Sus scrofa: one gene and its partners. The protein of the gene in region 1 interacts with the protein of each later gene in a biochemical or structural test. Links are inferred from orthologs where the notes say so. Each region holds a gene or a part of one and is shown in the gene's direction. Other genes may lie near its edges.

Region 1 (3,500 bases):
CAGTGGGTTAACCATCCAGCGTTGCCATGAGCTGTGGTGTAGGTTGCAGACGTGGCTCGGATCCCACGTTGCCGTGGCTCTGGCGTAGGCCAGTGGCTACAGTTCTGATTCAACCCCTAGCCTGGGAACCTCCATATGCCATGGGAGCGGCCCAAAGAAATGGCAAAAAAGACAACCAAAAAAAAAAAAAAAAAAAAGTTTAAAAAAAAGGAGTTCCCGTCGTGGCGCAGTGGTTAACGAATCCGACTAAGAACCATGAGGTTGCGGGTTCGGTCCCTGCCCTTGCTCAGTGGGTTAAGGATCCGGCGTTGCCGTGAGCTGTGGTGTAGGTTGCAGACGCGGCTCGGATCCCGCGTTGCTGTGGCTCTGGCGTAGGCCGGTGGCTACAGCTCCGATTCGACCCCTAGCCTGGGAACCTCCATATGCCGCGGGAGCGGCCCAAGAAATAGCAACAATAACAACAACAACAAAAAGACAAAAGACAAAAAAAAAAAAAAAAAGAAGCACAGCGGTTGACTGGAGACCATAAATAAAGTCCTTGCTTACAGCTTTAAAAAAAAAAAAAAAAAAAAAAAAAAAAAAGATTTGTAGTACGCAGATTATTTTGAACATATATTATTGAAAACATTTTTAAATAAAATATTCCTTTAAAAGTCACTGAAACAAATTCTGAAGCCCTTTTTGTAAAACTTGGATCCAAGTATTTTTAAAATACATGCAACTTTAGTTTTAGGATTTAAATTGCTCTTATAAATATAGACTAGCATAGGTAAATTATAGCTTGTCTGCCAAATCTGACCTACCACCAGTTTGGTTTAAAAAAAAAAAAATCAAAAGAGCAGTATTTCATTGCACATGAAAATTATATAAATTTTAGATTTCAGTGCCAGTAAACCAAGTTTTATTGGAGCACAGCCATGCCCATTCATTTATGTATTTGAGACTTCTTTCTGGCCACGATGGCAAAATTGGTTGCAGCAGAGACCGTAGGGATCACAAGTTTAAAATATATCATTGTAAAGTTTTGACGCTATAGTCTCCCAGTAACTTCTTATTTCAAAGAAACACTAGACATACTGAAAAGCAGTATCTTAACACCACATTTTAATCTTGCAAAAAGTGGCCAGAGTCCAGAGTTTTCATTCTAAAACAATGTAATGAGGTAAACCAAATTTTTAAAATACAGATATTGGCTTAGGTCATCACCTGGGAAATATTAGGGATTACTCTGAGGAAAACAGTAAAGAATAGGAATTTGTGCTATAAGTACACATGAATTTTACCATGATAGGTAATGAAATAAATCCTAGCGTATTTAATTTTGTTTGTTGTCATTTGAACTTATGAGATAGACATGCTGAAAATGTCTGTTTAAATTTCCTTATTACATTGACTACCAGTTACACCACAATTAAGGTTATCATTTTGATAGTTGTTTTGTAATATTAGTAGATTCTAGATTAGAATTGTATAGAATTATGTAGAAACTGAAAACTTCACAGTTTTCGTTTTTTTGTGATTTTGTTTATTACGCTGTTTGGACATCTTCTCTTCATGTAAACTAAAATTTGTTGCAGTGTTTTATTGATGCCTTTGAAATATATTTAAGCTTTATTTTTTATAAGTTGCAATAATAACCATTAACTAGATTTTTTTTTTTCTTTTTTTAAAATTCTGCCTAAGAGATTTTTTAGTAATTTTCTATGTGGTCAGCAAATGGTTGTAATGGAGAATTTTTTTGTTTGTTTTTAGAAATATCTTTTAAGCGTCACAGATCAGCATGAACAGAGATGTGAATTTTTTTCTTAATCTTTAATATAGTCAAATTTATGTGTTTGCTCTGATTGCAGACCTTGCTTGCATGTACAAGTTATTTAGTCGCGTGCCAAATGGTTTGAAAACGATGTGTGAGTGTATGAGTTCCTATTTGAGGGAACAAGGTAAAGCCCTTGTTTCTGAAGAAGGAGAAGGAAAGAATCCCGTTGACTATATCCAGGTAAGTAAGTATAGAAGATGCTCTTGATCATAAAGTAGTTTTGGCAAGTGTTTAAAAGGTCCCTTGTAAGAGCTATGTAGTACATAGTTCTGGCTTTATTGTTCCATGGCGAATTAACATGTGTAACTATCCTAAATGTTTTAGAATTTCGTAAAGCATGTACATTTAGGGAGCCAAATTCAGCTGATGTCTTTTCTTTTATTAGCTTGTCTGATGAAGACCTTTAAATAGTCTCAAGAATGAAAGTTCTTCTTTTTTGTATGCTTTTAGTGTTCTTCATGTACCTTAGTGTGTTAGAACAAAAATTAACTGTTTTAGTGAAGTACTTTTTGTTTCAGCATACTTTGTTTTCAACCAATTCTGTTTTTCATGTTTTAATATGAATAATCAGGTTTCTTTGTGTGTTTTTAAAACTAGTTTTGTTAGACTCGCCCATTCAGTCAAGGTAGTGGAAGGTGGGGAGAAACAGTGAGAAGGATCTTTGGTTCCTCTTTAAATGGAAGTTAGAATACTTCTCTTACCACTGACATTTTAAATGCAGGCTTGAAAATAACGATATAGAGGGAGTTCCTGTCATGGTGCAGTGGAAACGAATCCAGCTAGTATCCATGAGGATGTGGGTTTGATCCTGGCAAGTCGCTCAGTTGGTCAGGGATCTGGTGCTGCAGTGAGCTCGTGATGTAGATCGCACGTGCGGCTCGGATCCCGCGTAGCTGTGGCTGTGGTGTAGGCCAGCAACTGTAGCTCTGATTCGACCGCTAGCCTGTGAACTTCCATGTTCCTCGGGTGCAGCCCTAAAAAGCAGAGAGGGAGGGGGAAAAAATTAACAGTATAGAATCTGTAAGTTTAGCACTTAATGCACGTATTTATCAGCAGCAAAGTTGAAGATAAACTTCTAGTTACACGTGTAGTGTATTGTTTATAGAAAAAATATTATAATGTATCCTAAATTTCTTTATTTTTATTTGGAAGGGCTTATTGGATCTGAAGAGTAGGTTTGATCGCTTCCTCCAGGAATCGTTCAATAACGACCGGCTCTTTAAACAAACTATCGCGGGTGACTTTGAGTATTTTCTCAACCTCAACTCTAGGTCCCCTGAATACCTCTCATTATTTATTGATGATAAGCTGAAAAAGGGAGTCAAAGGGGTAAGTATTAATGCATTTGAAAATACATTAAATTGTATTTGTATATATATAAAATTAGGAAGTAAAATTGAAAACTTTGAAATACCGTAGCTATAAAATTAAACATAATTCTTTGCTATGCTTAAATATGCACTGTGATATTTGAAAGGATTGCTTCAAGTTTTTGAAATGCTCAAAGGTACTTTGACATTTCACTTAATGTGTAATTGGCATCAAAACCAACTACACAGCCATATCTGCAGAAGCTGAAGTTAGATATGCTAGAGATAATAAGGAACTAGAAAACAACTGTCCGTGGCACCTAGAATCTTGCTTGCCGTCATCTGGTTCTGGTGGTGTGTATCAGACAATCCTT
Region 2 (4,029 bases), on another chromosome or scaffold:
ACAGACCACTCTGCCTGGCTCTTGCTTTTATTCCTTCCTACTCCAAGCACCTGGCCTTCTTCCCTTCTTTCCTCAGATCCCTGCCCATTGGCTCTTTTCACCACCTAGAAAGCTCATTCCCTACCTTCCTTCTTTTCTCGGATTTCTGCAAAACTCAGCCTCCTCTGAGTAGCTTTATGGATTTAAAGTGGCCCTCACCCCATCTTCTACCACTTCATCTGATATTACTATCTTTGGGGCATTCCTCACTTGCTGATATTTTTTATTGATTTACTTTTTAACTTTCTCCCAGACTCGAATCACAGACCAACGCCTTTTGCACTAAGAAGCTAGTTCTCATTATCTTAGAAAGTATCGGTGTCCTGTCAACCTTCCTCCCTCGCCCTACTAATTTGCCCCTACTAATCTCCCATTGACATTCGGGAATCCAAAGGTTTCAGACATCCCAGATGGTCCCCAAACCAGCATTTTCAGCATTCCCAAACCAGGCTTCCCCTTCCTGGCCCTGGAGCCACTTCCCTTGGCAGGTTCCCCACGCCAGCAGCGGGGACACCGAGCCGCCCTCGCGAGGCTGGGGTCACACAGGCTCGTCTCCTAGCAACGTCGCACCCCCCACCCTCACCCATCCCTGCCCCTTGGGAGCCAACCCCTTCCCCCAGTCTCCCGCGCCAGGAGTCAGCGTCTCCATTCTCTACACTCACTCTGCGTCAGTCCAGCCTTCCCCCACCCACAGAAGCGCCGCAGCCTACGGCAGACTGGGAGGAGGCGGCGCCGGGAGCCCAGCTGAGCCGTGGTCGACAGAGCTTAAGCAGGTCCGGTAGGCCAGGCCAGACCAAACCACCAGACGAACCTCCGTGGGAGCATTCGTACCAGGTCGGGGGTAGGCTAGAGCCTTCCTTAAACGTCACACTCTAGACCACCCTCCACCGTATTCGCAACAATTATAGCCAAGTTCAACCTTTTCTTATTTTTCCTTTCCCCCTTCCGCTCTCCTCTCCCCCGGATTCCAGCCCCCCCCCCGAAAATGGGCCAGTCCATCTCCTCCTAGCCCTCCCTCCGCGTCGCTAGGTCTTTGCCCTTACTTGGCGACGGCTTCGTACGTCTTTGCGTACGTCGTGACGCAACCTGCCCCTCGTTCCCTCCCCGCCCTTCTCCTATTCCGCCTCCCGGAGCGGGCGGCCCGCGGGGTTACCGGAAGTGATGATGCAGGAGGCGATGGAGGGGGCGGGGTTTCGGGGCGGCCGCCGCCGGTGGGCCGCAGATGAAGAGGAGGCGGCGGCAGTGGTGGAAGAAGAGGCGGCGGCGGCGGTGGGGGTAGGGTGCTTGAAGACGCGAGCGGGGATGGTAGGTGGTTTGGACCTGCCGGGCCGCCGTCGTTTCCAGAAAGGGTTTGACTGGAGGAACCTCTGGAGCAGCTGTGAGTTTGGGGGTTGGGGGGTGTATGAGGAAAAGGGGAGGCTTTGGGAGATGAAGGGGCGGGGGTTTGGGTACCTTCGAGAAAGGGGGGTAGAAGGGGAGGAGTGGAAATCGGCGCCTTGTCTGGACTGGTCCCGCTGGAGGAAGACGCTGTGAGGGGGCCCTGTGGCGTGTCAGCCCCAGGCTCAGAAAACTTACCTACTGTCTCTGCCCCTCCACCGCCGGCACCCCCCACCCGCCACCCAAGGCCTGGGGCTCTGGGGGCCGGAGCTGCCCTGGAGGGAGTGCAAACTCTAGTCTTCTGCCCCTGGTAAGTGCAGTGAGGTAGGAGCCCAAGCAGGAGGTGGTGGGTGAATCTCCAGCTCCTCCGCCCTCATTTCCCTCCCCACCCCCATCCTTCTCTTTAATCATTAACAGCCCTGGAATTAAGGGGCTCAGACCTGGAGGCCTTCCTATGCACCTTTGCTGTAAACGATAACCATCTGTGCCTGAGGTAATGGGGCTGGAAGCTTTGCCTGTATCCTGTATAGGAAGTGGGACAGGGTGACAAATGTATTGTTTTTTTCTATTCTCCCCCACCCCCATCCTCCCCCATGCATACCCCTCCTTTCCACTTTAATTCTCCGTGGCTAAGTAGTAATCGTGTTTTTTTCTTTTTCTTTTTCCCTTTCGTCTTGGTACCTTCTTTTGAATTTGGTGTTCTGCTTCTATCCCAGATCTTAACTTCAAGCTTTGTAATACTTCAGTTACAAGCTGTGTCTCTTTGGGAGTACTTCTCAATGCCCGGTCGCTCCCGATTAAGATAAGCATTTTCTCCTAAGAATACTGGAATTCCAAAGCCTTGCAGGGATTCCTGAATGGCATCATAGTCCAGGAATCAAGGTCTCTTCCTCTGAATACTTTATATGTGAGGAATTTAAATGTTGTCAACTCTTTCCAGAATGTTTTGATCTTAGGCTAATTCTGGATTTCTGTGTTTTTCTCCACCCACACTTCATAATGCACTTTGGAGAAGAGAAAACCCCATGTACTTTTTTGTTTCTACAATTTGACAATAGCTCTTTTATCTTTCTCTCCACTTGTGTGTCTGGCACACAAGTCTTCGATGACACATTTGGCTTGTACTGATTTCCATCTTATTTATTTAGCTGAATGTTTGTATATAAGTGGCGTTAAATAAGACATTGTGACTTGTTTAGTTTTGTTTTAAGGAAGAAGGTAAACCAATAAGGGATGTAAAAAAATCATTTGAAAATTGCAAAGAATGATTGAAGAAGAAGATCTCCGTTGATATTCTGTTGGTTTAAGGGGGAAAAAAATGTAGTGCTACTTTAGCCTTTTGTAGGGATTTCAGAGTGAAGTGTGATGATTCCTATTTTGGTGTTGATATTTTCTTTGGAAATCTTTTTTGGATTATAAATTTGGAAATAAATTCTTTGTTGAATCTGGAGCTGTGTTTTCTGAAGAACTTGAAGAGTTGGTGCCCAAATTTTAGGGATCATTTGATTAGAAAAAGTCCATAAATCCTGTTCCTCTGCAACTGAATTTATATGCTTATTGCTAGACAAATTATCATAACATGGGTTCCATTCTACTCATCGGGGCTTTCAAGCCTGATAAAACAGAATATTTAATGCTTTGATTGTACAAGTAATGGCATGTTTAGATGTTTCACAGAAATGTAACAGAAGAAAAAAATGACTACTTTTCTCATTTTAGCTGAATTGGAATCATTGACTAAAAACTCCAAAATTCATTCAATCAACAAACTTTTCTTGACTGGCTACTAATTGCTAGCTATTATTTCAGGCAATGGGTCTGTGAAGGTGAACACAGCAGTAAGGTCCACGCTGCCCTGGAGCTTAGGTTAGAGTGGAGGTGGTGTGGGGACAGATAAATAAGCAAATGAGATTTTGATAAGTGCTGAAGGAAACAAGAGTGATGTGATAGAAAGTGTCTGATTGAGATATAGTCGGAGACCTTTCGGAGGAGGTGACGCTTAAGCTGAGCTTCGAATGAAAAGGAGCCCATTATGCAGAGATAGGGGAGGAGCCTTCCAAGTTCAAGGAGTAGCTAGTGCAGAAACTGTCTGGAGTGAGTTTGGCAAGTTTCAGGGAGGAAAAAAGAGGTAGGCGGAAAGGAGATGAGGGAAGATGGGTTAGGGGAGAGAGGAGAGTGAAAAGATTCTAGGTCAGAGAGGTGGAAATAGGCTCATAAATAGGTAGGCAAAATAAGAGTAAGAAGGAGAAGGAATTGTAAAATGATGCTCCGTTTTAATTCTGTTGCCTTTCCTAGAGTCTTACCACATACTACTTTGAGGGTATACTTGGCCTATTATATTTAAAAAAAAAAAAAAGTCACCCTGCTGAGAGTGGGAGAGGAGGAGGCAGTGGTCATCTGGAACTTTTTTGGCAGATGGATCTCAAGCCATGTGTTAAAAAATCAGTGAGATGAAGTTCCTGTCATGGCTCAGTGGAAATGAATCTGACTAGCATCCATGAGGACACAGGTTCCATCGCTGGCCTTGCTCAGTGGGTTAAGGATCTGGCCTTGCCATGAGCTGTGGTGTAGGTTGCTGATGCGGCTTGGATCTGGCATTGCTGTGGCTGTGGT
Region 3 (3,500 bases), on another chromosome or scaffold:
ACCTCGAGGGAGCAGGAAAAAATGTGTATGCTGTGGGGTGATCAGGGCCTTCAAGAGACGGAGTGCAAAGGAGAGAAGAAGGAGGCCTGCAAAAGGATGGAGGGCAAGGGAAGCCTTTAGGGAAGGAAGAGCATTTTATTTGGGTTTTGAAGGGTGGATGCACAGAGCTGAGGGAGAAGGGAGAGAACCCGGGGAGTAAAGGCTCCGCGGGGGGCTGTGCAGTTCTGGGTAGGAGCGAGCATCCTGCTGCATCTAGGCTGGAGCACAGTGGGGGCAGCGTGACAGGTAGACGGGGGTAGACCGCATTGCAGGGGGACTAGAATGCTGCTTTAGGGATGCTGGACTTTATTTTGTAGGCAGTGGGAAGCCTTTGAAGAGCTTTGAGTTGAGGTGGGGGGAAATTGGTGAGAAAAGAGTGGAATTTTACTGAGATTACTCAACAGCAAATGCTCGGTGTTAGAGAGTTGCTTTGAGGATGATTTGATTAGGAATCGGCGGTTGTTCATAAGCCAGATGAGGGGTGTCAGAATCGGGGCAGGAGCAGTAGGAACAGGGTAGGGTTGATACCAGTGTGTGGCGCTGCCAGCTTTGGGTAGCTCTTTGGATCTCTGGGATGAGAAGGTGTCAGAGATGTTCTCGAGAGGTCTGGAGATGGGGACGAGCATCAGAGGTGACAGGGAGGGAAGAGAGATGGGGCTCCATGGCCACCCACACTCAGGCAGCTCGGGATAGAACATGCCATCTCCCTGTGCCAGTCAGAGCCCGTCAGAGATGCATTGGACCTGGCACCCAGGCCAGAGAGCTCCCTGCTGCTGGGACTCTCGTACCTGCCTCTGGGCTGTGCATGTTAGGTGCTCAGCAGATAGTTTTGGGTCCCTAGTCTGTGGGGAAGAGATAATCCCCCTTTCAGAGCATTCTTAACCTGCCAGACAAGTCCCTATTCCTTAGAAACTTAAAATCGAATACAGAAGTGACTGGAGCTCCTTCAGGCTTCGTGGAGGAGAAATCAACCACAGATCCCGTGAGTTTACACAGAAGGTCCTCTTCCATTAGAGTCAGGGTGTAGTCTTGATGGAAGACGGGGGTGGTGGGGGGTAGGCAGATTTGTGAGGCTCTCTGGGTAAGGAAAGCTTGTCTCCAGGGAGGCACCAAGGCTGGCCCTTCCCAGCGTCTCTGCAGATTGGTCCTGAGACTTGGGTCTGATGGCCCTGGTTGGCACCCCTTCCTGCAGGTGGAGCCCCTCCCAATGTGGACCCCGAGGCTTACTCCTGGTTCCAGTCGGTGGACTCTGATCACAGTGGCTACATCTCCATCAAGGAGCTGAAGCAGGCCCTGGTCAACTCCAACTGGTCCTCATTCAACGACGAGACGTGCCTCATGATGATAAGTGAGTCGTAGCCTTTCCCCAAGGGCTCGAGCTGGGGCAGAGCCCCCTCCTGTCTGATGGAAGGCGGGTGGGAGGCCATTCTGAGGAGAATGCTTTCCTTCAGGCAGGAAGCTGGGTTCAAGGTGAGATCCCTTAGATCGAGAGCTCTTTTCCTTAGGTCTTTTCTCAAGTTCTAGACCTTGCTGAGTCGTAGACCAGCTCAGTTTCTCGTTCTGCAGGATGGGCCCCCCTGGCCTGGTAGGAGATGGCAGGGAGGGGTCAGCTGCCAAGCCGGGGGAGGGATGTGGTTCTGGCAGAGGAGGGGCTGCTGTGGTACTCGATGTGGGGGAGGGGCGGGTGTCGGGAGCGGCGTCTGGGCCTCAGCCTGTGATTCTGTGGCGACTCCTGCTCCAGCCTGTGGAGAAGGCTGCCTCCGTGGTACCTGAGGACCCTTGGCCCTTAGTCCTGAAGCCTTTTTTCCTTTCTCCCCAAGACCTGTTTGACAAGACCAAGACAGGCCGTATCGACGTCTACGGCTTCTCGGCCCTGTGGAAATTCATCCAGCAGTGGAAGAACCTCTTCCAGCAGTATGACCGGGACCACTCAGGCTCCATTAGCTACACAGAGCTGCAGCAAGGTGAGGGCCTGGCAGGGCCTCGGTGCACAGGCAGAGCTGGACCTTTCTCTCTACTCCCTGAGATGGAGCAAGGGGTTCTCTCTGGCTCTGACTACCAGATAATCCCACTGCACTGGGAGTGCTGCCCTCAGCACGGGCCCACTCCCCACCCCTTCTGTGGCCTGGCTGGGCAGGGAGCCTGGAACGCCTGGCTCCAGGATCAGAGCTGGACTCTGGTGATGGGATTCCAGGCAGCATGAGGTGAGACAGGCCCAGCCAGCAGGGAGCCTTGCGGATGGATACTCGGCCCAGGGGACTTTGAGACCTGTATGTATGGCTTGTGTGGCTCTTTCCTCTCTAGCTCCTCACGTGCAGAATGGAAGAGCCCTGCAGAGGGGCTCAGAAAGATGGCTTCTGTTGCTACAGCTCTGCTAGAAGGCAGTGTCTTCCCAGCTCTGGGACCCAGACCACTCTAAAAGTTGCAGTTGGATAAGATGACCTGAGGCCACAGCTCCAGGTCTGGTTCCAATTCTGACTTTAGAGGATGGGTAGTTAGTGGATGATGAGAACCTGATGAGAACCAGGCAGGGAGCTTTGCCACATGAGAGGGAGAAAGGGCTTCCCAGAGAGCCCAGCCCCTTGCCCTGGTGGTAGATTTGGGTCAGACTAAGTCAGGCGGGGGAGACCCCCTCTGTTGTCAGGTGCTGATGTGGTGATGGATATTGGTTAAGGGGATATTATTATCACGAGAAAGCTGTTATTTATTGAATGCCTGCTGTGGCCAGGCATTGTAATAAGCACTCTTCATAGGTGCTTGTTACATACGAGAGATGTTACATCACTTGCTCTCCCTCTGTGATAGCTACTAATTCTTGTTCCCCACCCTTAGATGAAGGATCTCTTATTATTACCCTTTTACAGATGAGACAACTGAGGCTTAGTCTGGTAACTTGCCCAAGGGGCAAGAGCGAAGGGGCGCTGACATTTTAGTCTGAGCTGGTAGATGATAGAGGAAGAAGGAAGCACCCAGGTGGAGGGATGGGGGAGCAGCCTCGCCTGGGGAGATGATGATGATTTTATTACTTTTAATAAATAACACTTAACTGAGTGCCTCTTAGGTGCCAGGCGCTAGGCCAAGTGCTTTGCATGATCGCTTCCTTTAATCCTTACTAGAACCTACAAGATAACTATTATCCCCGTTTTAGAGCTGATATGATGAGGATAAGCAGGGTTAATAAGCAGCTTGCCGAGGGGCTGTCTTGACTCCAGAACAGGAGTCATCTCCCTGAGATGCCTCTAGTGCCTGCCCTGGGCAGCGGGGCCTGAGGGGACTCAGGCTTCTGTCTGTAATACAGACAAGTCAGAGATGAGCATGGACAGACTGGGGTCATTCTGGGACCCTTGGGCCCCTAACTGAACAGACAGTAATAGAGATTTTGAGAAAGAGGGATAGAGGCCTTCCACCTAAGGGGAGCATCCAGGCAGAGCCCCCGCTGTGCTCCTGCTGTCTTGGACAGC
Region 4 (3,500 bases), on another chromosome or scaffold:
TACACATAGTTACAAATTTTGTTTTCTTATGAGGAGAACTTTTAAGATTTACTCTTAGCTACCTTGAAATAGGTAAAACAGTATTATTAACTGTAGTCACCATGCTGTACAGTACATCCCAGGACTTCTTTATTTTATAATATTTTATTAAAATAATTAATTTTATAATTATTTTATAAACTTTATTTATTTTATAACTTTGTACCTTTTCGCCATCTTCACTCATTTTGTCCACCTCTGACTCTGACAACCAGCAATCTGTTCTCTATATTTGAATTTGGGTTTTTGTTTTGTTTGTTTTTTGGTAGATTCTTTATACAAGTGAGCTTATATGGTATTTGCCTTTCTCTCTCAGAATTTTTCACTTAGCACAATTCCTTCAAAATTCATCCATATCATAGTTTGTTTCATTCTTACTGAGTCACAAAAGAGGCCTAGCAATGATGTAATTACTGCATGGGCAATCTGATAACATAAAAAATATGAGAATTGGGAAAAAATAAGAAAAATTCCTCAATTTTTGGACTAGGATAAGACATAGCTAAGGAAGGGTTAAACTTTTATTTAAGGTGACATAATGCTCATGCTTTATTGTCTGCTTTAGAACCAGATAATAAGGAAAATATCTCATTTTGGACTCTCTATGTAGCCATTTCCTTAAGTCATAATTTTCATAATGTATCTTAAAAGTATTAAATTTTGTTTGGGTATTTCAGAAGGTTAATGAATGACCTTTTCTTTTAGTGTGAAACAGATATTCTCCTCTGCTTACTGTCTTGAATTATGGGTTGGTACTGGCACATTTTAGTCAAAGAAGCAGCTCAAACATTCTTATACGTCTTTATATTCATGCATTGCCAAAAATTTTCTTCAGAGGAGGTTCTGAGTAAATGTTTTTTTTTAATGGATAGGTTCAATTATTATACAACCTAGTGATTCATATTAATGTTACTTTGTTTTTTATTTCTTAATTCTATTTTGTAATATGCTTTTAAAGAGTATTTTAGAATTTTTAAATTTGGTAATAGATATTTTGCTTTATTAAAGATATGTCAAAATTCAAATTTGGTTGTTTGCAGAAAATGTTATGGTATATCCATAGATGCCTTTAACACAGTGGCTTATGTTTTATGTTGATATTAAATTATAACAATAAAATATATAAATTATTTTTGTCTTTGAAGGTCCTGATGAAGTTGTAGGGCCAGAAGGAATGGAAAAATTTTGTGAAGACATTGGTGTTGAACCTGAAAATGTATGTTTTATTTCTAAGTAGAATGGAATACAAGTGGGGTATAGCATATTCATAAATTTATAAAAATTGGAACACTTTAATCTTATAAGAAAGTTTTGTTTCTTCATGAATATTGTAGATTTTTATTTAGGTTTTTAAAATCAGTTTAAGTTGGGCATGTGTGCTTTTTCTTGATACAAATGTCATTTGCAGTAGACTAAGAGATTCTACTTTCAGAAACTGTTAGAACGTTTAGCTTTTAAGAAATTGGCCCATTTAAATTTCTTTAGAGTTAATAATTTCAAAGATTGTACCCTGTAATAAAGTTGAAGGATGGACATAGTTTGTATAAAAATGCTCTCCATTATAAAAATAGACATGATTATCTCTATTGCTGACTTTTCCCCTATCCTTTATGTTCTGTTCTTTCCAGATTATTATGTTAGTTTTAGCGTGGAAATTGGAGGCTGAAAGCATGGGATTTTTTACCAAGGAAGAATGGTTAAAGGGGATGACTTCATTACAGTAAGAATTTTTTTTAAAAAACAAATTTGATGGCCTATTTGAAGATCCTAATTGATATTTTGTGTTTTGTAATTTTCAGGAGTAAGGTTTCACCTTAAATTAATCAAATTGGTTTGATCTGTAACAGTCAGTTTGAGATTGACAGAATTTATATTGTGATCTTTGCAAAATGAATAGCTACCCTTTTTTTCATATTCTCTAAGAAAGAACCTAAGTATGGTCCTATTAAAACTCATTAAGTTTTGTTGGGTGAATTAGCAGTTCATGATTCAAGTTACTTATAGGATGTTTGAGTGGTAAGAGCCTTCCTTCTTAGAATATAGAATTCTACTACATGAAGAGTTTGTTCTTTGGGCAGTCCTAAGTTCTGGGGCCTCCTCTCTGTCTTCAGTTTTATCCTTAAAAAAGAAATTTGAAGAGGGTTACATGACACTTTTATCATTTCTTTTTTGCCAAATGAATCTCATAAAGAACAAAAGCAAGTTATAAAATTGCTTCTTTATAAAAATAATCTGACTTTGGCTTTCCAGTGTAAAGTGTGCATAGTTTCAGAGTCAATTAGTAATTTTTATATTTTGTCATTTCCTGATGTTCATGCATTATTGTTATTAATCAACATTCTAAAGTAGTTAGGGCAAGCATTAATTTATAGTATTTTTGAGCCAAAAATGGGGCCTTTCAAGTTGTGATTATACTTTTATTAATATACTTAACCGTTCTTTACTTCTTGTTTGCCTGTCCTTAGATTTCAAAATACCTGGTTATATTTTTTTTAAGTGTATTTGTTCATATGGAACTTAACTATTTAGATTTGAATTTTTCAGTGTCTAATGTTTTGTAGTTCTCCTTTTTACCAGCATTGACATTTAGATAGTATAAATATATATACACATATATATTTGTTCAGTGTAAAAACCTTTACTCATATGAACCATAATTTCTAGAATAAGACGTAAGATCACCCCTCTCATTTTCATTGTTTATAGGTGAGATGAGTCTGAGACTCAAAACAGGTGAAGAAAATTTTTATCAAAGTTTACATGGTTCGTGTATCTAATCACTTGTGATGCAACATGATGGAGGATAATGTGAAAAAAAGAATGTATGTAAATGTGTAACTGGGTCACTTTGCTGTACAGCAGAAATTGACAACACTGTAAATCAACGATAATTAAAAAATTTTTAAAAAGATGCATTAAAAAAAAGGTTTACATATGGTGGAGTTCCTGTTGTGGCTCAGCGGAAATGAGTCTGACCAGCATCCATGAGGACACAGGTTTGATCCCTGGCCTCGCTCAGTGGGTTAAGGATCCAGCGTTGCTGTGATCTGTAGTGTAGGTTGCAGATATAGTTCGGATCTGGTGTTGCTGTGACTGTGGTGTAGGCCGGCAGCTACAGCTCTGATTCAGTCCCTAGCCTGGGAACCTCCATACCTCTGTATGTCACGGGTGTGGCCCTAAAAGACAAAAAAAAAAAAAAAAGTAAACCAGCTATAATGGAAAAAATAAAAATCATTATTAAAAAAAAGTTTAGGAGTTCCCGTCGTGGCGCAGTGGGTTAACGAATCCAACTAGGAACCATGACGTTGCGGGTTCGGTCCGTGCCCTTGCTCAGTGGGTTTACGATCCGGCGTTGCCGTGAGCTGTGGTGTAGGTTGCAGATGCGGCTCGGATCCCACGTTGCTGTGGCTCTGGTGTAGGCCAGTGGCTACAGCTCCGATTCAACCCCTAGCCTGGGAACC
Region 5 (4,102 bases), on another chromosome or scaffold:
GAACTTGCAACCTCGTGGTTCCTAGTCGGATTCATTAACCACTGAGCCATGATGGGAACTCCTCTTTTTCTTTTCTTTTCTTTCTTTCTTTCTCTCTTTTTTTTTTTTTTTTTTTTTTTTTTTGGCTTTTTAGGCCCTCGACATATGGAAGTTCCTGGGCTAAGGGTCGAATCGGAACTGCAGCTGCTGGCCTATACCACAGCCACAGCAATGCTGGATCCAAGCCACATCTGTGTCCTGCACCACAAATGTGGCAACGTGGGATCCTTAACCCATTGAGCGAGTCCAGGGATTGAATGCACATCCTCAGGGATACTGTGTGGGGTTCTTAACCCACTGAGCCACAACAGGAACTCCCCAGTAGCAACTATTCTAATTCTCTATTCAGGGAAAACTGAAGTTCAGGGGGGAAGTTGCTCAAGTTCACACTTGAACTTGTGCTTAAGAGAACACAAGTTCCTAGGAGCAGGAGTCTGGTAGCAGTGCCACTTTCCCTGCCAAGGGGAAAGCAGAGCTGGAGGAGTTATAAGCTTTCCCCCAGTGCAGGGCCAGGCTGCCCAGTGTGCGGGGCCAGTGGGTGTGACACTGGCATTGTGACACTGGCATCATGGAGCAAAGTCTCAGGTCCTCCCCCTACTCCAGGACCAGGACTGAAACCATGAGAAGGAAAGGAAATTAAGGAGGAAAGCTTCCCTTCAGCCCTTGGCCCTTCTTCTCATGTCAGCTGTTTGATAACCCATATTGGACAAAAGGAAAATGATGCTGGGAGACCAAAGAGGACGATTGCTGGCTTGGGGTCTCACTCACTCTTCTCCCAGTGACTTGGAACTTGACCGTCACTTCTGGTGAGGGGGTGGGGCTGGAATGGTCGGGGGGGGGAGGGGGTTGGGATTGGCACATGCGCACTGAGGTATGAATGACTGGCCAACCCGTACCTGTGCAGCACAGAAAACTCTACCCAATGTTCTGTGATCATCTATGTGGGAAACGAGTCCGAAAGAGAATAGACGTGTGCATGTCCAACTGAATCACTTTGTTGTACAGCAGAAATTCTCACATTGTAAATCAACTAGACTTCAACGCAACTTTAAAAAAATGACAGAAAAATAACAACTTGACCTTCTCCAGAGTAATTTGGCCAAGGACTTCTTTAAGAGACACCCGCTTGCGGGTCTTCCAGGAAGGGTAAAGGAGGGCAGGACTGGGGAAGGCAGGATCGCGGGGGTCGGGGGACCCTCAGCCGGGGCTCCACCTGCGGGGGGCGGTGCGAACTACAGCTCCCGGCATGCCCTGCGCGCGGTACCTGCCCGCCTCCAGCCGCCTCGCCGGGAGGATGCAGACGCTGGGAAGAGCGATGAGGATGGAGGCCGGCGAGGCAGCGCCGCCGGCGGGGGCGGGCGGCTGGGGCAAGTGGGTGCGGCTCAACGTGGGGGGCACGGTGTTCCTGACCACCCGGCAGACGCTATGCAGGGAGCAGAAGTCCTTCCTCAGCCGCCTGTGCCAGGGGGAAGAGCTGCAGTCCGACCGGGTGAGGCCCACGGGGTGGGCGGCTGTCGGGCTGGGGATCCTTCGCTCGCTGGAATCTGGCTCTCCGGCCTGGCACCCCCTCGGGGCTGGAAACCCGGCCGGGTTTATTTCCAAGAGCTGGAGGCGGGAAGAACTGGCTGGAGCCCGGGAGAAGGAAGTGGATCGGAGAGTGAGGGATGTGCCATTGCCGTGGCAACAGGACAACGCCAGGCTGCGGCCATTTGGAGCTTTTGTGCCCAGGGCTCCCAACCCCGGAGGCTGATGGATGGGGACTCTCACCCTGCTTTGGAACTGGGGGGAGGGACAGACCCCTAGGGCCTTTTCTCCTGCCCAAACCGGACTCCTGCACCACAGAAGGAGTGCAAGGCTACTTCTCCCCGCCGTTTGGGGTGTGGGTGGCCTGGTGTGCCAGGAGCTGGGTGGAGAAACCCCAGGGTGTGTTCTGAGCTGGGCTTCATCTGGGAGGAGCGCTGGCCTGGGGCACCATTTCTGGGTTCCCATCTCGGCTTTAAAACTGCCTGCATGACTCTGGGTCAGATACTTCCCTGCGCCAGGCTCAGCCTCCTGCCTGCAACCCCAGGGGGCTGGTCAGGCAATGACCTCAAAGGCTCCCTCCATCCCATTTCCAGACCCTCTGATGCTATGACCTTGGGCGAGTCCCCTCACCTGATGATGTCTCTGCTTTCTCTCTGTAGAGTTGTGCTGATGCCCGCCCTGCCTCCCTGCAGGCTGAGGGTATCCAATGAGAGAGCGGTTCCTTTGGAAACTTGTAAACATCCCCAGAATGACCGGGGATCTAGTGAAGACAGCTTAGAGCTGGCTTCAGGAAACAGCCTCTAAGAGGGACAATCCCTGAGCCCTACTCTGGGTCGGATGCCACTCAGACCTTACTGGATGCTCACAATGTCCCCTCATTATGGGGGAGAGGAGTAAGGCTCAGAGAGGCCCATTCACTGGCCCAAGGTCACACAGCCAGGAAAAGGCAGAGGCAGGATTTGAACCTAGGTGTGTCTGACCCCAAAGGCTTTTTTCGTTTGCTTGTTTTTCATTTTAGGGCCGCACTCACGGCATATGGAAGGTCCCAGGCTAGGGATCGAATTGGCGCTGCAGCTGCTGGCCTACACCACAGCCACAGCAACACAGGATCCAAGCCACAACTGTGACCTACACCATAGCTCAGGGTAACACTGGATCCTTAACCCACTGAGCGGGGTGGGGGATCAAGTCTGCATCCTCATGGATACTAGTTGGGTTCTTAACCCGCTGAGCCACATGGAAACTCCTGACCCTGAAGCCTTTTAATTCCATCCTGCCCCTCTGTTCTGGGGATGAGCAAACCCTCTGCCTCTTCCTGCCCTCCCTCTGATCCTTTACTGGGACTGAAGTGAGGAGGGGGTGTGCAGGGTCAGACAGGGAGCGGGGGTTCGCTCTTCTCCTCTGACCGCCTGTGCCCCTCGCCCCCACAGGATGAGACTGGGGCCTACCTCATCGACCGAGACCCCACCTACTTCGGGCCCATCCTGAACTTCCTCCGGCACGGCAAGCTGGTGCTGGACAAGGACATGGCCGAGGAGGGTGAGTTGGTCCAGGGGGCTGCCCGGGGCCCACACCCCAGCCCTGTCCTGGGCGGCCTGCCAGGGCCTTCCATGGAGCTCCAAAGTTATTTCTCCCAGCTGGAGGGGGCATCACCTTTCTTCCACATTTCCTGCCTCTTCTCATCCCTGACAGGATCGAATCCTAAAACCTCTGCCCGGGCTGGGCCTGGGGACTCTGCCAAGGTGACTGGCCGTGCTTCCATTGGGTGCTCTTGGTGGCGGCGGGGGGCGGGGGGGGGTTGCGGTGACAAGCACAGAGGCAGTGGCCCAGGAACTCCATATGCCATGGGATGGCCAAAAAAGAAAGGAAAAAAACCCCACAGAGATAGTGGGAGCCAGTGGGGCTGGCAGCCTCCCCTGTGGGAGGGGATGGCCTGGCCTCCCAGGAAGCCAGCTGTGAGCAAGGGTGGCTGTGGGCATGGAGGCAGTACGGCTCTCTTTCTCTGGCTGATCCCGTATCTCAGATGACTGGGGAGGGCTTACAGTCCGCAGCTGGTGGAGCAGGGGCCTCTTCCCCAAACTGGCAGCCTCTGTAGCGCAGTACCAGCTGTGGGTGGCAGCGGGGAAGTGGGGAGTCCCCTCCCCAGCGAGGGTTCAGTCCCTCCCAGGCCTGGGTGGCTGAGGCCCAGAAGATGTCCACTTTTGGGCCCAGCACCCAGTGGGGGAGCCTTGCCAGGGAGAATGGCTTCTTGGCAGAGCCCTGGTCAAGAGCTGGGGGTGCCAAGCACACTTTTCCTTAAGGCAGAGGGTGTGGCTCTGGGTCTGCGGATCCAGCCAGGCCAGCTTAGACCTGTCCCTTCTTTCTGAGTCTCCACTTGTGTGTGTAAAGTGAGGGCGGTGACTTACCTTAGGGACAATAAATGTCACGCGTCCCGGGGCTTGTACCCTCTAGGTGTTTAGCACAGAGACCTCATCCCCACCCGGGCCCCCGATTTTCCGTCCTGACCCCTGAGGGACACAGTGATCTAGAGGCCACGTGG
Region 6 (4,225 bases), on another chromosome or scaffold:
TGACAGGTATAAAATGATAGGGATATAACGTATTAATGAGACATTAGGAATTAAAAGGGATGCAGCACATTATAAAGGGAGTGATGTGTGGTGGAAAAACTGGTTCTTGTTCTTTCAAATATCTTGTTTTGCCCACAACATTTAAGGCTATGATCTGAAACCGAAATTTCAGAACCCTGGAACTCAAAAGCCTTGGCTGTATAAGTCTAAAATCAAAACGACTGTTTTGTTATCAGTTATTTGTGGTGTCATCTATTCTCCGAGGCGGGAGGAGTAGGATGCCCTGGCCGCGGGATGGCACACAGAGAAGTGGTGTATGTGTTGTGGTTGGGGTTGGAGGGAAAGGTCCTCCATTAATATCTCAAAATATTTTTCTGCTACAATAATACGGTGAGTATGACGAGTGGGTTTGAAAGTCTTAAAAAAAAATGGTCGGCACTCATGAAAATGATGCGAATTCCTGACTTAATAAATTCAATGGTCAGAAGTCTTCTAAATTAACGTCGTCCTCCACCAAATAACAGCCAGTTTTGCTTTTCCGGACCGCTTCTTAGCGTCAATGACTTAGGCTCACTTAGCTAACGCTTATTTGTCCTTTGAGGGCTAGTGACTTGGCCCCTGAACCAGCCGCTTGCCAGACTGAGCCCAAAGCGTGGCCCTTGGTTTCCTGCCTGAGTTCTGGGGCGCGCGTAAGTGTATCACCGACAATGAAGCATTCGAAGCCTTTAGAATAGCCCATCTGTGATGAAGAAAGAAGTGTGTTGACTCTGGAAAAGAAGTGCATTTCGAAAAAGGGGAGAGGATGGATTGTTGTACAAGAAAGAATTTGTTCCTCACCAGAGGGTTTGCTGTAAATGAAGATGCGTCGATTCTTTATCCAGGTTCTAGCTGTAGGAAACAGCAAGAGAAGTCTCAGTCGAAGTTCAGCGAGGACTCAGCTCCTGCAGAAAGCCGTTCCGAGGCGTGCGCGACAAACAGGAGATCCCGACGAGTAGCGTGGGGCGCAAGGGAAGAGCTGACTCTCCTACTCCTTGCAGCGGGACACAAGCTGCCCCAACTGCTTTTCCCCTTCTCGGTTCTTCGGAAAACACTTCGCGTGCTTTGTTTCAGACGCGGACCCATCTTTCTCGGTTGGTCTGGGCTCCACCAATCCCACCCGCCACAGGGCGGGGCTTCAGGGTCAAGGTGGGCCAATTCCCCAGCCTCGCCTTTACACGCGCTTTCGGACCCCCGGGGCTGAGTGACAGCGGCCGGGTCCAACCTGCTATTCCAGAGCATGGCCTCCACCAGGGGCGTTACGGGGACGAGGCGCCGGGACCAATCGCATTGGAGCTCAGGGGGCGGGGCCTCTTTGCCAGCTCTAGACCGGCGCTCTCCGCACTCCTTTTGTCAAATGAGAGCGGAGGAGGGGCGGTCCCTCAGCTGATGTTCAGCCTATGGAGGAGGCGAGGTGGGCGGGCCGGGAGTGCCTGGCGGCGGGTCCTCAGCTCCTAGCCGAGGTGCGGCGAGCCGGTGGGGGGACCGCGAGGCGAGCGCGGGAGCCGGGGCGGCGAGCGGGGTGTGAGCTGCCCGAAAATGCACTCGGATGCCGCCGCTGTCAGTGAGTAACAGAGAGCGAGCCGGCCGGGGCCGGGCGGCTGCTAACACTCTCCGCTAGTCTCCCGCAGTCCCCGCCCCGTGCCTCCTGTCCCGAAACCAGCCGGGAGCCCCTGCCCGGGAGCCACCCCTTCCCCTCCCGGGGCCGGGGCGGGCGGTGACGCTGCGGGCGGCGCGGGGCGGGGGCAGGCGTGGGGGGAAGGGGCCGGCCTGCCGGGGGAGGGCGGAGGTGAGGGGGTGGGGACTGGCTCCATTACAGTGTTGGGGGAAGGGGGGGCGGGACGTGCGATGAAGGGCCGGGACCAGAGTGTCCGGGGTGAATGGAGGTGGAGGCGGCGGCGGGCGCTAGCGAGCAGGGCTGGGGGTTGGTACCGGCGGGGGCAGAGGGGGAGGGAGCGAGCGAGAGAGCGGGGCGCAGGGGTGAGGATTTCCTAGGAGCTGAGCGGTGCGGGCGGCTGTGAGAAAGGCGGGTGAGTGCTAGGGGAGCGCGGGGCGGGGACAATGGGAAGAAGGGCTGGATGGCAGGGGTGGGGGGGGAAACAATGGGGTGGGGGATTGGGGGCAGCGGCCGAGCGGGGCAAGAGGGCGGGCTAGCAAATGAGAGCTGATGTAATGGGAAAGCGAGATGGTGGGAGGGATTGGGGTGTGATGGGATAGTTGGGGAGTCCAGCGGGCGGGAGGGCCATAGGAAGCGTGGAGGGGTAATTGGGAGTGGTGAGAGGGGGGCAAACGTTGGGATAATAGGATGGAGCAGGTGTTGGGAAGATAGGGTAATTGAGAGTAAGAGAGGAAGGAGGTGGGGAGGGTTTGGGGTGACCGGATGGGGGCAGGGGTAGCGGAGGTGCAGTGGGGGTGAAGAGCTACTTGGGAGGGGCCGGGGCAGGGAGAAGACTATCTTGTCCAGATTCGGTCCGCGCGGGGCTGAAGGGGAAGATGTGAGACTCCGTGACTGGGGGAGGTGTATCCTCCCCCAGATTATGGGCAGGGTACCTTGAGGGGGAGCCCTAAGCTTCGGGATGCGAGGAGAGGAGGGGGCGGGGCGGAGGGGGCGGGGGAGGTGCGCTGGCCGCGGTTCCCCCGGAGCGGCGGGAAGCGAGGTCAGCGCTGGCGCGGGCTCTGCCTGCGGAACTGGGAGGCGGGGCAGAGGCGCGCGCTGCGGGCTTTCCGCGGCTGGACCCGGAGGGGTCGGACCCTGAAGGCCAGGGGCGGTATGTGGGTGGTGGTGGTAGGGTCCCTGGCGGTCCGTGGATTTGGCAGTCTGTGACGCAGTTGTCTAATTTCTGGTCGTCAGGTGTGGAGGCTGGTGCCCCGGGACCCGGTTCCTTGTCAGGAGAGTCGGACCACAGGCCCAGCGCAGCGCCCTAGGGGCGCGACCTCTCCCAGGCGTGGAGGGAGGGCGCTTTAGGGGTTTCCTTTAGGGTCTGGCTCCAGTCGCCGGGTGTGAAGGGGAAGGCAGTCCCGCAGAATTCTGGGACTTGTAGTCCGGGCCGCGGTTGGATTGGGTGCACGTGGGTAACTGTGGAAACGAGTCCCAGAATGCAGCTCGGCCCTCGGAGCCTTCCAGCTCTGTTAACTGGTGCCTTATTCCCGGCGGATCCGAGCGCGCTCTGAGGAGGCGCTCCTGTTCCCTGGGGCTTTCTCCCTGTGTCAGCGGGTGGGGGAGAATCAAGCCAAGCTCAGCCCTTTCACACTTGGGCTCTACATTCCCCCCTCACACCCCAAGTTGGTTATTTCCCCCTGCATTTGGTGGCCTTACTTGCAGAATAAATGCTTATCTTGAACCATCTAGTACGTAAGTTATGGAAAAACATGCAAGATGCAACACAGTCAAAAGGATGGTGTGTGTTTGTAGCATCTCATGTATGTAAACACTAGGTTAAAAGGTTCAGTCTTTTATAAATCTGAGAAAGCAGTGGAGACCCGTGTAAACCTTGTGGAGGTAGTTTAAATTATGTGTTTGTAGTTCTTGAGCCGTTTGCATTGCCGAAGGATAAGGGAACTTTTTGAAAAAAGATGGTCTTGAAATGAGTGTTGGAGGTGGATTAATAGAATTGAGAGTGGACTTAAAACCGTTCATTTAAACCAGCGTGAAAATGTGAAAATGAATGAAGGGAATATATGATGTTCTCAGTTTTCAAAGAAGCATGGGAAGCAGATGAGATTAGAGGAAGGTAAACTCAGTGGAGGACCTTAAGTTTTCGTGTGTTTTTGTTCTTTGATATTAGAACCAATCCTGTCACTCTGTAGACTCTCAAGACATTATTGCATCCTTTGCCAGTTCCCTTTACCATTTGTATGCCATGACTCCAAAATCTATAAGCAGATGCCATCAGATTAGCTCAGAGATGACAAGACTATTTTTATGTGATGTATTAGGTATGAAACTACTGGTAGCATGGTCACTAGAAGAGTATTATAATGACCCTAATGATAAAAATTTTACCAAGAAGTCCAAAGATTTGGAAACTATCTAGTATGGTTACAAATATACTGAACTTGAGTACTTGATTGAATGATCATTCTTTTCATAATGGCTGAAAAATTGGGCAATGTGTGGTTTTATCAGGAAAAGATTTACATCTATCTTATATTTTACTTAAGCTTTTGGTGGAATATCCAGGACACTCTT
Region 7 (4,080 bases), on another chromosome or scaffold:
TATGCAGTACACCCCAAAACTTAGTGGCCATATGCTACCACTAGAAAAGAGATATCTAGATTCCCGGGACAGTGGAACTAAGTGACCTTTATCTTGTTAGTTTGTACGAGGGCTTGAAAGATAAATTTTCTTCAAATGGAATTTAATGTCAAAACCACAGGCGGAGTTGTGGATTCCATAATACTAATGTTGTCTTAACTAAATGTCACACAGCTTTCTAGGAGTGGAGGATACAGCTCAGAACCAAGTGCCCTGCACTCTGAAACTGAGAGTGAAAAGAAAAACTTCCAGGTAAACAAATACATTATTTCCTTGCACTGTAACAGTTATGCAAGCACCTACAGGCATTTAGAGACACGGCAGAAGGATTACTGGAGAGAGAAAAGTTAAGAAGGATTGCGTGGCAGAGAGCTCTGAGCTGTGTTTTTAAATGTAAGTTTAAACTCCCAGTCCGAAAAGTCAGGGGAGAGCTTTTCAGGCAATGCTAGCCACCTTATGCAAAGTTTCAGGGTAACTAAAGAAAGATGAAACTGGAGAGGTGAATTGTGATGCCCCCCCTCCCCTTTTCCCCCAGGGGGAAAAAAATTGAACATCTATGGTAGACATTGAGGATACAACAAGGAGCACACCTGGTCCCTGTGTTTTGGAACTTAGAATCTAATGCGGGGGGGGGGGGAGAATAACTAAAACAAGCAAATAATGAAATAATTAAATACCGTTTGAACTCTTGGATGACAACCAATACTCCCCCTAGATTAATTCAGTCTCGGAGCAGAGTTAGTTCCACAGAGCAATGCAGAAGATTAAACTGTAAACTATTATAGCAACTGGGTACTGGACATTTTCGGGACATTAATAGCGCCTAGAGATGTTAATTTTTACAAACACACCAAGGCATGACCGTAGCCATCCACGAGTTTCCACAGCTTCATATGATCGCTAGAGAACGCCCAAGAGAAGCTTAGTGCCCAACCACGAGCCCATAGGATTTTACACATGTGCGGTGATTCATCTGAAAGTAAACTAGGATGTCATGTATTCTCTCAAAGCCAGCATTCAGAACTATTTATCTCAATTTTTCCAGACATCCTTTTTTTTTTTTAAGTCTTTCAACAAACTTACTGCATTTAAAGTACCTGCACCTACATAAAAACAATTCTTTCTCCCATCCCCGTTTAAGGATCTATTTTTAATATGGCGGAGGCCGAGCCTGCGCAGTACGAACAAGGAAGGTCAATTCGTTTTCTGGCATAACGTTACATGCCCTTCTTCCGGTGCGGAAGGCTATACCATTCCTTACATAAACGCTGTTTTTGTCTTAATTCACACATATAATTTTCCAAGATAATATGTCTTCATTTAATCCACAAGGAGATTCCTCTGTCTCTAACTATTGTGTAACTGCTGTTTACACCGTCGCGTTCCGGAAGGACCCCCGCCATCCTCGAATGGTCGGTACCAACTTCACCTCCGGTTCTAGGTGTCATGGCTGCCTCGAGAGTCTAGTACCAGTTTGCACCTGCGGTGGGGTGGGTCTGAAGCCCACACCCGGAAACCTAGCGAGGTTGAAGTTGCGTCTTGGTTGTAGGGGCAACAACTTCTCCGAATCCTCTGCGATGGCGGCTTCTGGGAGTGGTATGGCCCAGAAAACGTGGGAATTAGCCAACAACATGCAGGAAGCCCAGAGTATCGATGAAATCTACAAATACGACAAAAAACAGCAGCAAGAAATCCTGGCGGCGAAACCCTGGACTAAGGAGTGAGGAGGTCCCTGGCGAAATGCTGGGGAGGGAAGGGTGGCGGGAGTTTAAGAGACCCAGTAGGGGTGGGAGCTGAAGCGGGGACTGGGCTTGTCTTTTCTTGTGCAGGGAAGAGGAAGAGTAAGCGTCTGAGAATTTTTGCTTTGCCTTTTTATCCGCGCAAGTTGAGCGTAAGTCCCTCCTTTGGGGCTCGCTTGACTCCCCTTTCTGTCTCTTTAACCCGTTTGCCTCGGGAGAATGGAAAAGGAAAACGGCAAGCGGTGATTTGGGCTTTTACTCCTCAACACCCATACCGTCACGTATGCTACACACTCTGCCTTGAATCCTGTGTCGGTATACACTTTGTTGGGACTTGCAGCAGATCTTAGACTGGAGACTGTAGCTGTCTTCAGAAATTGAGCCAGCCCAACGGTCTTTAATTAAAAGCCATCGTTTAGATCTGTAATTGTTTTTCGATTGCTGGTAATTATTTTAGAAACACCGCGAGGTTCTACTTAGTCTCCCAAAATGTTAGCAAGTTCACATAAGCTACAAATTAAATCAATAGAGTTCTTTGCCATTTAGCAAAACAGCTGTGTCCCTGAGAGTGATGACAGATCGAGGATTCTTTCCCACAGCATTTATCCTTTCCTGAGAGCAGATATTGTTAGAGATAGAGTTAAAAGAGCACCGTCTCTAACAGAGAGATAGATGGGAAAGCGGTGGTCAACAACAAAAACCATGCTTCATCTGTCCCACAAGGCAAGCTTTAATTGTCATTATTCAGATTCAGCAATGTTTATTGAGTACTTACTAAGGACTGAGCACTGAGTTGGTTTGCCTCACCTGCTCTTTCTATAGCAGGCTGTGCATTTTAGGTTGATAGAGCCTATTAAATATTTGGAAACTATTAGCCTCGCTGTGTGATTGTATCTCTAGTTATATACAACCTAGCTGTCTTGAGCCACATCAGTGAGACCAAAATGTAATTTTATTCAACAGTAGTTTAGTCACAACCACAGATGAAAAACTTAAACAGTGATCATAGCAGAACTAAAGATAAGGCTACATTTTCCATTTTGAGGCTGATACCACAGAAAGAAGCCACAGCCCTCAACAGACTTCTTTGAGAGTTCTGTAAAAGATAGGTTGATAATGCTAACAACAGCTAGCATTTAAAAAGTTTTAGTATGTGTCAGGCACTAGGCTAAGTACCTTATATACATTATTTCATTTACTTCATTTCCTCCTAGCAACAGCCCTGTGAAATATCCCTATTTATAGATAAGGAAACAGGCACAGAATTAAGTGAATGTCTCAAGGTCACAGCTAGGACATGGTAGTGCAAGGATGCAAAGGTAGGCAGATGGATGTCAGAGCCCACATTTTTTTGGAGGGGGCACACCCATGGCATACGGAAGTTCCTGGGCTAGGGGTGGAATCAGAGCTACAGCTGCCATTCTACACCATAGCCTCAGCAACACCAGATCTGAGCCACATCTTCGATCACACCTACTGTGGTGATCATTCCACAGTATATGTAGTACATCATGGCAATGCCAGATCCTTAACCCACTGGGCGAGGCCAAAAATCGAACCCACATCCTCATAGATATTAGTCAAGTTTGTTACCACTGAGCTGCAATAGGAACTCCAGAGCCCACATTCTTAACTGTTAGGCCAAAACGTTAGGGCCTGAGAATAATGAGGTAAATCCATCCAACCAGTCAGAAACCAAAATTTGGCACAACCTTGTAAATCAACTCTAAATTTAAAAAGATTTGGTGATACCAAAATTAATGGAGAAAAAGTCTACTGAAGTGGTCATGTAAGAATAGCATATTAAAAAACTTTTTCAGAAGTTCTCTGGTGGCTCAGCAGATTAAGGATCCAGCATTGTCACTGCTGTGCCTTGGGTTCAATCCCTGGCCCAGAAACATCTGCATACTATGGGTGTGGCCAAAATAAATGCCCACTATTTCATAGTGTTCCCTTTCCCCAGTGGGAAATACCTTGCAAGGTTATGATGTGTTTCCATCTCCCTTTTCTACTTCCTCCTTCTTTCCATTCTACACTCTTCCTCCCCATTCTATCAGTGTTAATTCCCTCAATGCTTGTTAATCTCCACAAAAACTGTCTTGAAATTCTACTTTATGTAAGAAAGTTAATTACACCATGCTTTTGTTTTGTAGTCACCATTACTTTAAGTACTGCAAAATCTCAGCATTGGCTCTGCTGAAAATGGTGATGCATGCCAGATCAGGAGGCAACTTGGAAGTGATGGGCTTGATGCTGGGAAAGGTGGATGGTGAAACCATGATCATTATGGACAGTTTTGCTT

The links.
Region 2: the proteins of CUL3 (region 1) and DCUN1D3 form a complex in vitro, tested with the Homo sapiens proteins (3 studies listed by BioGRID, with this or other methods). The link is inferred for Sus scrofa from reciprocal best matches to the Homo sapiens genes CUL3 and DCUN1D3.
Region 3: the proteins of CUL3 (region 1) and PEF1 form a complex in vitro, tested with the Homo sapiens proteins (2 studies listed by BioGRID). The link is inferred for Sus scrofa from reciprocal best matches to the Homo sapiens genes CUL3 and PEF1.
Region 4: the proteins of CUL3 (region 1) and DCUN1D5 form a complex in vitro, tested with the Homo sapiens proteins (2 studies listed by BioGRID, with this or other methods). The link is inferred for Sus scrofa from reciprocal best matches to the Homo sapiens genes CUL3 and DCUN1D5.
Region 5: the proteins of CUL3 (region 1) and KCTD17 form a complex in vitro, tested with the Homo sapiens proteins (3 studies listed by BioGRID). The link is inferred for Sus scrofa from reciprocal best matches to the Homo sapiens genes CUL3 and KCTD17.
Region 6: the proteins of CUL3 (region 1) and DCUN1D4 form a complex in vitro, tested with the Homo sapiens proteins (2 studies listed by BioGRID, with this or other methods). The link is inferred for Sus scrofa from reciprocal best matches to the Homo sapiens genes CUL3 and DCUN1D4.
Region 7: of the proteins of CUL3 (region 1) and COPS5, one has a biochemical effect on the other in vitro, tested with the Homo sapiens proteins (2 studies listed by BioGRID). The link is inferred for Sus scrofa from reciprocal best matches to the Homo sapiens genes CUL3 and COPS5.

Annotation. Positions count from the first base shown.
Region 1 is NC_010457.5:126,217,649-126,221,148, reverse strand, and holds part of CUL3 (cullin-3), read left to right. Parts: intron 1-1,850; coding exon 1,851-1,996; intron 1,997-2,968; coding exon 2,969-3,145; intron 3,146-3,500. UniProt on the Homo sapiens protein: Core component of multiple cullin-RING-based BCR (BTB-CUL3-RBX1) E3 ubiquitin-protein ligase complexes which mediate the ubiquitination and subsequent proteasomal degradation of target proteins.
Region 2 is NC_010445.4:25,150,272-25,154,300, forward strand, and holds the start of DCUN1D3 (DCN1-like protein 3), read left to right. Parts: upstream 1-1,229; 5' UTR 1,230-1,417; intron 1,418-1,614; exon of another isoform or gene 1,615-1,741; intron 1,742-4,029. UniProt on the Homo sapiens protein: Contributes to the neddylation of all cullins by transferring NEDD8 from N-terminally acetylated NEDD8-conjugating E2s enzyme to different cullin C-terminal domain-RBX complexes and may play a role in the cell cycle progression by regulating the SCF ubiquitin E3 ligase complex, after UV damage.
Region 3 is NC_010448.4:88,153,328-88,156,827, reverse strand, and holds part of PEF1 (peflin), read left to right. Parts: intron 1-1,231; coding exon 1,232-1,387; intron 1,388-1,859; coding exon 1,860-2,242; 3' UTR 2,243-3,500. UniProt on the Homo sapiens protein: Calcium-binding protein that acts as an adapter that bridges unrelated proteins or stabilizes weak protein-protein complexes in response to calcium.
Region 4 is NC_010451.4:33,697,646-33,701,145, reverse strand, and holds part of DCUN1D5 (DCN1-like protein 5), read left to right. Parts: intron 1-1,184; coding exon 1,185-1,255; intron 1,256-1,667; coding exon 1,668-1,759; intron 1,760-3,500. UniProt on the Homo sapiens protein: Contributes to the neddylation of all cullins by transferring NEDD8 from N-terminally acetylated NEDD8-conjugating E2s enzyme to different cullin C-terminal domain-RBX complexes which is necessary for the activation of cullin-RING E3 ubiquitin ligases (CRLs).
Region 5 is NC_010447.5:10,716,167-10,720,268, reverse strand, and holds the start of KCTD17 (BTB/POZ domain-containing protein KCTD17), read left to right. Parts: upstream 1-1,302; 5' UTR 1,303-1,333; coding exon 1,334-1,528; intron 1,529-2,993; coding exon 2,994-3,102; intron 3,103-4,102. UniProt on the Homo sapiens protein: Substrate-adapter for CUL3-RING ubiquitin ligase complexes which mediates the ubiquitination and subsequent proteasomal degradation of TCHP, a protein involved in ciliogenesis down-regulation.
Region 6 is NC_010450.4:38,981,260-38,985,484, forward strand, and holds the start of DCUN1D4 (DCN1-like protein 4), read left to right. Parts: upstream 1-1,425; 5' UTR 1,426-1,575; coding exon 1,576-1,600; intron 1,601-1,969; exon of another isoform or gene 1,970-2,066; intron 2,067-3,154; exon of another isoform or gene 3,155-3,384; intron 3,385-4,225. UniProt on the Homo sapiens protein: Contributes to the neddylation of all cullins by transferring NEDD8 from N-terminally acetylated NEDD8-conjugating E2s enzyme to different cullin C-terminal domain-RBX complexes which are necessary for the activation of cullin-RING E3 ubiquitin ligases (CRLs).
Region 7 is NC_010446.5:67,739,248-67,743,327, forward strand, and holds the start of COPS5 (COP9 signalosome complex subunit 5), read left to right. Parts: upstream 1-1,280; 5' UTR 1,281-1,349; coding exon 1,350-1,759; intron 1,760-3,931; coding exon 3,932-4,080. UniProt on the Homo sapiens protein: Probable protease subunit of the COP9 signalosome complex (CSN), a complex involved in various cellular and developmental processes.